2 linked regions of the Arabidopsis thaliana genome follow. The main gene of each other region encodes a partner of the protein of the gene in region 2 in a complex. Each region holds a gene or a part of one and is shown on either strand. Other genes may lie near its edges.

Region 1 (3,753 bases), 8.6 Mb from region 2:
AAAGTTCTTGTCATCTCCTAGATCTTCCTGCACTTTCATTGTCGAAAACTTAAGCTTTTGAAGTCTCGAATGTAAAAATTTGATTCTGGATGCAGACAAGGCCAGTTTTAAGAGACAAAGACCGGTTAGAAGAACTAGTCGATTCAAGACTTGAAGGAAAATACCCGAAAGAAGATTTCATAAGAGTATGCACAATCGCTGCAGCTTGTGTTGCACCTGAAGCTAGCCAGAGACCAACGATGGGCGAAGTGGTTCAGTCACTTAAAATGGTTCAACGGGTGGTTGAGTATCAAGACCCGGTTTTAAACACTTCAAATAAAGCTCGTCCTAACCGGAGACAATCATCAGCTACGTTCGAGTCAGAAGTAACCTCTTCTATGTTCTCTTCTGGTCCTTATTCTGGTCTAAGCGCTTTTGATCATGAAAATATTACACGAACAACTGTTTTCTCAGAAGATCTTCACGAAGGCCGATGATAGAAGCCAGGGTTTTCTTCTTTTTATTTGTTTTTCTCCCACTTACGGTGAGAAAATTTCCACCAGAGAAGCTTTTGAGTTTGGGACATTATTACAGCTCTTTGGATTTTGGATTCTCCTTTATTGGAGGATAGAATTTTGTATATATTTTTGCGTTAATTAATTAATATTTGCCACAACCATCAGATATACAAATAGAATTTGAATATACTTTTTCCAATATAAAAAAACTATGTACAGGTGATTAGTTTGTACTGTTAATTTTTAAAGGCTTTTTACAGTAAAAGTTTTTACAGCTAAAAGTAACAGTATAATACTTTTTTTTTATGGAATAATCTAAATAAAATATAATCTGTTGAAAAACTAATATTTTAAATATAATTTTTATGGTATCAAACCAATATTTAAAGTAATTCCTTTCTTATTAGTTAAAATCACAGTTTTTATTATTATTATTTTTGATAGTGGTTATGTTCAGGAAAGGACTGTCATACATTCAGGATGGATTTACAGAGATTGCAATGGATGTTTCCTTAGTTCAGGGCGTGCTCAACTTCAATCGTCACAATTATCTCTTCAAGCAGAGGCTCTCGGATTTCTTCATGCCCTTCAAGTGACTTGGTCCCGAGGACTACATTATGTACTTATGTGTGGTTTGAGAGCGATAATGCAGAGCTAGTAAATCTGATCAATACGCAGAGTGATCATAATAAGATCATCACTCTTCTTTATGATATTCGTTATTGGATGGTGAAGCTTCCGTTCTCTTCCTTAGCACATGTTAATTGGGAAAGAAATGCAGCTGCGGACATCTTATCTAAAAAGGCTCAGTTAATTAATTCTCTGTACCACCATTATGGTTAGAAAGATATTTGTATCTCCCTTTACAAGTTTATAAGAAGCATACATATGTTAAAAAAAAAAAATCTTTACAGTTTAAATCTTTACGCTCAGAGATTTTTACTTTACAGCTAATATTCTTAGCCTCAATGGCTAGTATTGTTAACGTCAAAGTTTCTAAAGCCACACAAATCATAGTAGTTACCTTTAAGATAAAATACAATTATAATCACAAATATCTTAATATTTTTACGTTCAGAGTTTATTACTTTACAACTAATACTTATCTCAAACGTAACTGCTATAACCTGTGTGGCTCTAGAGACTTTGACGTTAATAATATTAGCCATTATTAGCCTCAACGGCTCCAGAGCCAGGCATGTCGTAATAGTTATCTTTAAGATAACATACAATTATAATCACAAATAGAAAATAATTGTCGCAAAACCACTAATTAAATTACACACGTATAAGCACTATTCATTCACACGTGTGGCGTTCTTTGTATGTAATGTAACCCCCCTTCCAGTCCACACTCCGTTCGTCCTTCTCACAAGTCTGATTGCGGAAAAAGCAGAGAGAGAGAGAAAGTTCGAGCGGAAGAGAAGCGGAAAGCTCGAGGAGTCATCAATGGTGACGGACGATAGCAACTCCTCTGGACGAATCGTACTCAGATTTACCTTTCAATCTCCTCTTTTTTTTTTTTTTTTGATTTATTATCTGATTTTGCTCGTATGCGCATGATCATTCGCGTTTTTTCAGCTGATTGTTCGTGAAATCCGTTTGAGTTCATCAAATTATAATCGCTCTCTTACTTTTGTTCACTGTTGGAGTTGATGGACCTTATAGAATTAGTGTTTTTCCTCGTTGCTTTTGTTTTTTACACGATTTTTGTTTTGATTTGGGCTTCTGAATAGAAGTCTCATGTAGATGATGATGATGATGGTGAAGAAGAAGAAGATAGACTCGAGGGTTTGGAAAACAGATTAAGTGAGCTTAAAAGGAAAATTCAAGGAGAAAGAGTTAGGTCTATTAAAGTAAGAGAGTTTCTATACTTGATGTTCTTTACTAATTATACTAATGTCTAAAAAATTTGAAATCATTTATCCGTTTTTGATTGTTTTCCTGGGAATGTAGGAGAAATTTGAGGCTAATAGAAAGAAAGTGGATGCTCATGTTTCTCCCTTTTCATCTGCTGCATCGAGCCGAGCTACCGCAGAGGATAATGGAAATAGCAATATGCTTTCTTCGAGAATGAGAATGCCACTCTGCAAGTTAAATGGTTTTTCTCATGGTGTGGGAGATAGAGACTATGTTCCTACTAAGGATGTTATATCAGCAAGTGTCAAGCTTCCTATTGCTGAGAGAATACCGCCATACACTACCTGGATATTTTTGGACAGGCATGCACCTTTTCTAGTTCTCATTTTTGCGTTGGTAGCATGCTATTCTAAATTCAGTTGAACAATAGACTAGAACATCAAATTCAGTTTTCATATTATGTGTTGTTTTTCTTTTCTGAAAAAATATCTTAACCATGCAGAAATCAAAGAATGGCTGAAGATCAGTCTGTGGTTGGTCGAAGACAAATCTACTATGAACAACATGGTGGTGAGACGCTAATATGCAGCGATAGTGAGGAAGAACCAGAACCTGAGGAGGAAAAACGTGAATTTTCCGAGGGTGAAGATTCCATTATATGGTTAGTTTTGCAGAGAGTGTAAATTATGGACTCTCATGTACTCTGATGGGGAAAAATTGTGATACTGGTATTTGAAGAAGTACCTGGGTGGAATTTATTAACCAATGAATCACATTTGTTGATGCTAAAAAAAGATGTCATATTTCGTATTCATATCAAATTTCATTCTGTAAGACTCTTCATTAGCATTAGGTTTGAAATATATCTCACTATATATGAATTTCTTCATACCTCGTTTGACTTGAATTGGCAGGTTAATTGGGCAGGAGTATGGCATGGGTGAGGAAGTGCAGGATGCCCTTTGCCAGTTGCTAAGCGTAGATGCTTCTGATATCCTGGTGCAGTTTTTAGTCATCTTGTTCTTGTGGTTTATCTAATGATGTTTTTCTGGTCTTCCTATTCTTCTTCACTAATGATGTTTGGCTTTCCTGTCTGCTGCAGGAAAGATACAATGAGCTCAAGTTGAAGGATAAGCAGAATACCGAGGAATTTTCTAATTCCGGATTCAAGCTGGGAATATCTCTGGAAAAGGGCCTTGGTGCAGCTCTAGATTCTTTTGATAATCTTTTCTGCCGCCGTTGCTTGGTACTTGGATTGTTCTTTGTGACAGAGAGAGCATGTATTATTAAGTGTTTGTTAATCATGTTAATCCTTCTTTGGTTATTTCTAACAGGTATTTGACTGTCGTCTGCATGGATGTTCTCAGCCTTTGATTAGTGCTGTAAGCTTGAATTT
Region 2 (3,753 bases):
TATGGTTGATCTTTTGGGTCGGGCTGGGAAGCTGGAGGAGGCATTGAAACTGATAAGATCAATGCCGTTTAGACCTCATGCTGCGGTCTTTGGGACGCTCTTAGGGGCTTGTAGAGTGCACAAGAATGTGGAATTGGCTGAATTTGCAGCTGAGAAACTGCTTCAGCTAAACTCGCAAAATGCAGCCGGGTATGTGCAGCTTGCGAATATCTACGCATCGAAGAATCGTTGGGAAGACGTTGCAAGGGTTCGCAAGAGAATGAAAGAGAGCAATGTTGTGAAGGTAGAGCGAGTCAAAGTTCGATTCTTTATTCGAGTTACAAGACTCTAATGTATTTACTTGACTGTTTCAGGTACCTGGATACAGTTGGATCGAAATACGAAACAAAGTTCACCATTTCAGATCAAGTGATCGGATTCACCCTGAACTAGACTCAATACACAAGAAACTGAAGGAGTTGGAGAAGAAGATGAAACTAGCTGGATACAAACCGGAACTAGAGTTTGCTTTACACAATGTAGAGGAAGAGCAAAAAGAGAAGCTATTGTTATGGCACAGCGAGAAGTTAGCTGTTGCATTTGGTTGCATAAAACTCCCTCAAGGTTCACAGATACAAGTGTTCAAGAACTTGAGAATCTGTGGTGATTGTCATAAAGCAATCAAATTTATCTCGGAGATAGAGAAACGAGAGATCATTGTAAGAGACACCACAAGGTTTCACCATTTCAAAGATGGGTCTTGCTCTTGTGGCGATTACTGGTGAAAAGAGAAGAGCTTTGACTCTCTCATTGGTCAAACCTGACTGTATTTATATGCGTTATTGTGTGGTAAAGTTTCGACCTTTGACTTGACAAGTTGCCGTTAAGAAGAGAGATGCGTAGATCAGCGAGTGGTTCTAGAGTTTTGGATCATTTTCCGGCGACTTCAAGGTCTCCGCCTCGATCTCAGAGTGTTACAGCAATGGAAGATGATGTGGAGCTGCTTTTGCCTAGGTACGATCCGAATTCTCAAGCGGGGAAGAGAGAGAAATCAAGATTCAGATTTTCAGAAAACGTCATCCATTTGATTCCTCTCATTCTTCTTCTCTGTGTCGCAATCCTCTGGCTCTCCTCTTACTCAGGTAAGCCGAGAAATTGTTTCAATCTCTATGAATCCATAATTGATCTGTGAAACTTAATTAGGGATTTTACAAAGACTCATATGGATATGAGGATCGAGATGTCTCTGCAACGTTAGAATCTTGTGTTGAATTATGGTTTCAATTTGTTCATATAATACTAAATCGGTGATGGATTTGGAATTTGTCAGCAGCGTTAAGGAGTTGAGTTCCAAAAGCAACATGTTGTCTTGTCTCCATGGGAACTCATATTCAGTTTTGGGAAAGGAAACAATTCTTTTACCGCCGGTGATTTTGTGCCGCAAACCATTCGTATTTGTAATTTTTGGTTCTGTAGACACACAAAAGGATCTCTCGTTTTCATGAAATGTATGTTTAATATTTCAGTGATATACATCACACAACTCAAGTAGAAAACACTGATGGTTATCCATTAATCATTCTATTGGTCGAAAAAAAGATTAGTTTCAACTTAATGCCACCTTAGGATTATATGTTCCTGTGAGTTTCAGCTAGCCAACTCAACTAGAGTTAAACAATGGAATCAAAATACATATTCAGTAATTTATTTTAAACTCTGACTATTTATGTAAAACACAAATGGAAATCAAAATTGAAGGTCATGAAGATTCTATTCTTAGTGTGAAAAGTATAGATCAATGATTCTTAATTTCTTCATCCTCCACGCATAGATCAATGGTGAATATGGTTTTAAATCCTCTAATACTCACTGTACTGCCATGGTAGAGTTAAAAAAACAATTTTAGAAATATTAGTGGATTAAGGCATTAAGCTGTCCAAGTTGCTTGTATTTTCTTTTCATTTTATTAATTAAAAAAAAAGTTCAACTATTTATTGACTAATAATAATACGTGTTAAATGGTTATCGGTTTAAAATATGGGCCATAGGCCCAGACTTGAAGAAAAACTTGAAACCCAAAGTTTTATTTTTACTTGTTTTCTTTCTCAGTGAATATCTCCCAATCAAGCTTCTTCAATTTTGCTTGCTCTCTCTCTTACACGGCCAATCGGTGTTTTCGCAGCTTTCAGGTTTGTCTCAATCTCAAATTAAATCGGAGTCAAGTAATAACAATTGATAACCCTAATTGTTTCAATTATATTGTAAGATTTGAAATTTTGCAGTAGATCCGGAATCGTATTCTAGTTCTGGAATCGTTGATCTCGATGGAATTTTTTTTAAGATTTCTTCATACACATTTGGTTCAAAAGATCACATAATTTTATTTTAATTTGATAAGTATGATGATTCTGCTAAGTGGCATTGGATAAAGTTTTCATTTTTGCAATACGTCTAAACTTGTCTATGTCTTGAATGAACTCTCTGAGTTGCTTAAAAAGTCTTGTGCTTTCTTTATTACACAGGCCTCAATACAAGACATTCTATATAAGCATATTGCAGAAGAGGCGGTTCTAATTGTTGCATGGAGTTGAACAATATGACGTAGGGAAATTCTAATTTAGGGGAGGCCTCAGAGTTTGCACTAACTTCATAATCAGCTCTGGACGTTGTTGATTGTATTTGAACAAGAATGTGTAGGCAGAATTGTCGCGCGAAATCCTCACCGGAGGAAGTGATTTCAACTGATGAGAATCTCTTGATATATTGTAAACCTGTTCGACTATATAACATCTTTCACCTTCGCTCTCTAGGCAACGTATGATTTGGCCTTCCTCTCTCATCATTTTAGCTTAGTAATCTTTCATCTCCTGTGTAGATCACCCACTAATAGTTTGAGTTTGCTAAGCTGATTATGGTCTGACTCATGGCGAGTGTGTGCTTCTTTTGTCTCCTAATGTTATTTGAACTTGTTGTTTGTTGTTGCAGCCATCGTTTCTGCCAAGATGCTTGAACTACAAAATTGGGGCAAAGCGCAAAAGAAAGTATGCGTTTCTTCTTGAATGTAGTTGCCACAGTGATATGTTATTTATCTTACTTCTAATATGGAAGCTGATGAACTATTTATCTTTGTTGAGTAGATATGGACATAATGAATGGTTTCTTCTTTGTTCATGCTATACACTTATATTTTACAAAATTGTGTTTTGCTTAGGTCAAGATCTACTGGGATGGTAGTTTTCAACTATAAGGATTGTAATAATACATTACAAAGAACTGAAGGTTAGTCTTTTTCTGTTCTTCGACAAAATTCGATGTCAATGTCTATGTTTCTCTAGATGATTTGTTATTTACTATTTTTTTCTGTATTGTCACGCAGTTAGGGAGGATTGTTCTTGTCCATTTTGCTCTATGCTATGTGGTAGCTTCAAGGTGGGCAACTATTACAACTGAGGTTTCTTCCGGGGCCTTTCATATCTAACACTGTGAAATGCTACTGCCGTTTAATGCTATATACTTTCACTGTTTGGTTACATATTTTTGTGTTTGTTGTTTGTCTTCTTGCTCTTTTTAAACTGCTGAGTGTGTGCTTATCTGAGAAAACATGTTCCAGTTCGAGCTTACAATCCATTGTCTTGTGTCTATGCAGGGGCTGCAATTTCATTTGAATTCATCTCATGATTTATTTGAATTTGAGTTCAAGGTATGTGGTTTTATGGAATTTCTTGTTTTGCCTATGCCGTTAGTAATGAGGTTATAGTTAAAAAAGGGTCTTTC

What was found.
Region 1: VRN2 (region 2) and SWN share a complex: the UniProt entries of both Arabidopsis thaliana proteins name them as parts of the plant homeodomain / polycomb repressive complex.

Annotation. Positions count from the first base shown.
Region 1 is NC_003075.7:884,747-888,499, forward strand, and holds the start of SWN (SET domain-containing protein), read left to right. Parts: upstream 1-1,833; 5' UTR 1,834-1,946; coding exon 1,947-1,982; intron 1,983-2,233; coding exon 2,234-2,353; intron 2,354-2,453; coding exon 2,454-2,719; intron 2,720-2,859; coding exon 2,860-3,018; intron 3,019-3,271; coding exon 3,272-3,356; intron 3,357-3,459; coding exon 3,460-3,603; intron 3,604-3,691; coding exon 3,692-3,739; intron 3,740-3,753. Other genes in the region: AT4G02010 (Protein kinase superfamily protein), read left to right, coding at 96-476. UniProt on the Arabidopsis thaliana protein: Polycomb group (PcG) protein. Catalytic subunit of some PcG multiprotein complex, which methylates 'Lys-27' of histone H3, leading to transcriptional repression of the affected target genes, mainly abscisic acid (ABA) responsive elements.
Region 2 is NC_003075.7:9,474,040-9,477,792, forward strand, and holds the start of VRN2 (VEFS-Box of polycomb protein), read left to right. Parts: upstream 1-2,029; 5' UTR 2,030-2,168; intron 2,169-2,501; 5' UTR 2,502-2,668; coding exon 2,669-2,794; exon of another isoform or gene 2,795-2,964; coding exon 2,965-3,020; intron 3,021-3,190; coding exon 3,191-3,258; intron 3,259-3,355; coding exon 3,356-3,408; coding exon of another isoform or gene 3,409-3,430; intron 3,431-3,625; coding exon 3,626-3,679; intron 3,680-3,753. Other genes in the region: AT4G16835 (Tetratricopeptide repeat (TPR)-like superfamily protein), read left to right, coding at 1-283, 354-764; AT4G16840 (uncharacterized protein), read left to right, coding at 875-1,121, 1,310-1,326. UniProt on the Arabidopsis thaliana protein: Polycomb group (PcG) protein. Plays a central role in vernalization by maintaining repressed the homeotic gene FLC, a floral repressor, after a cold treatment.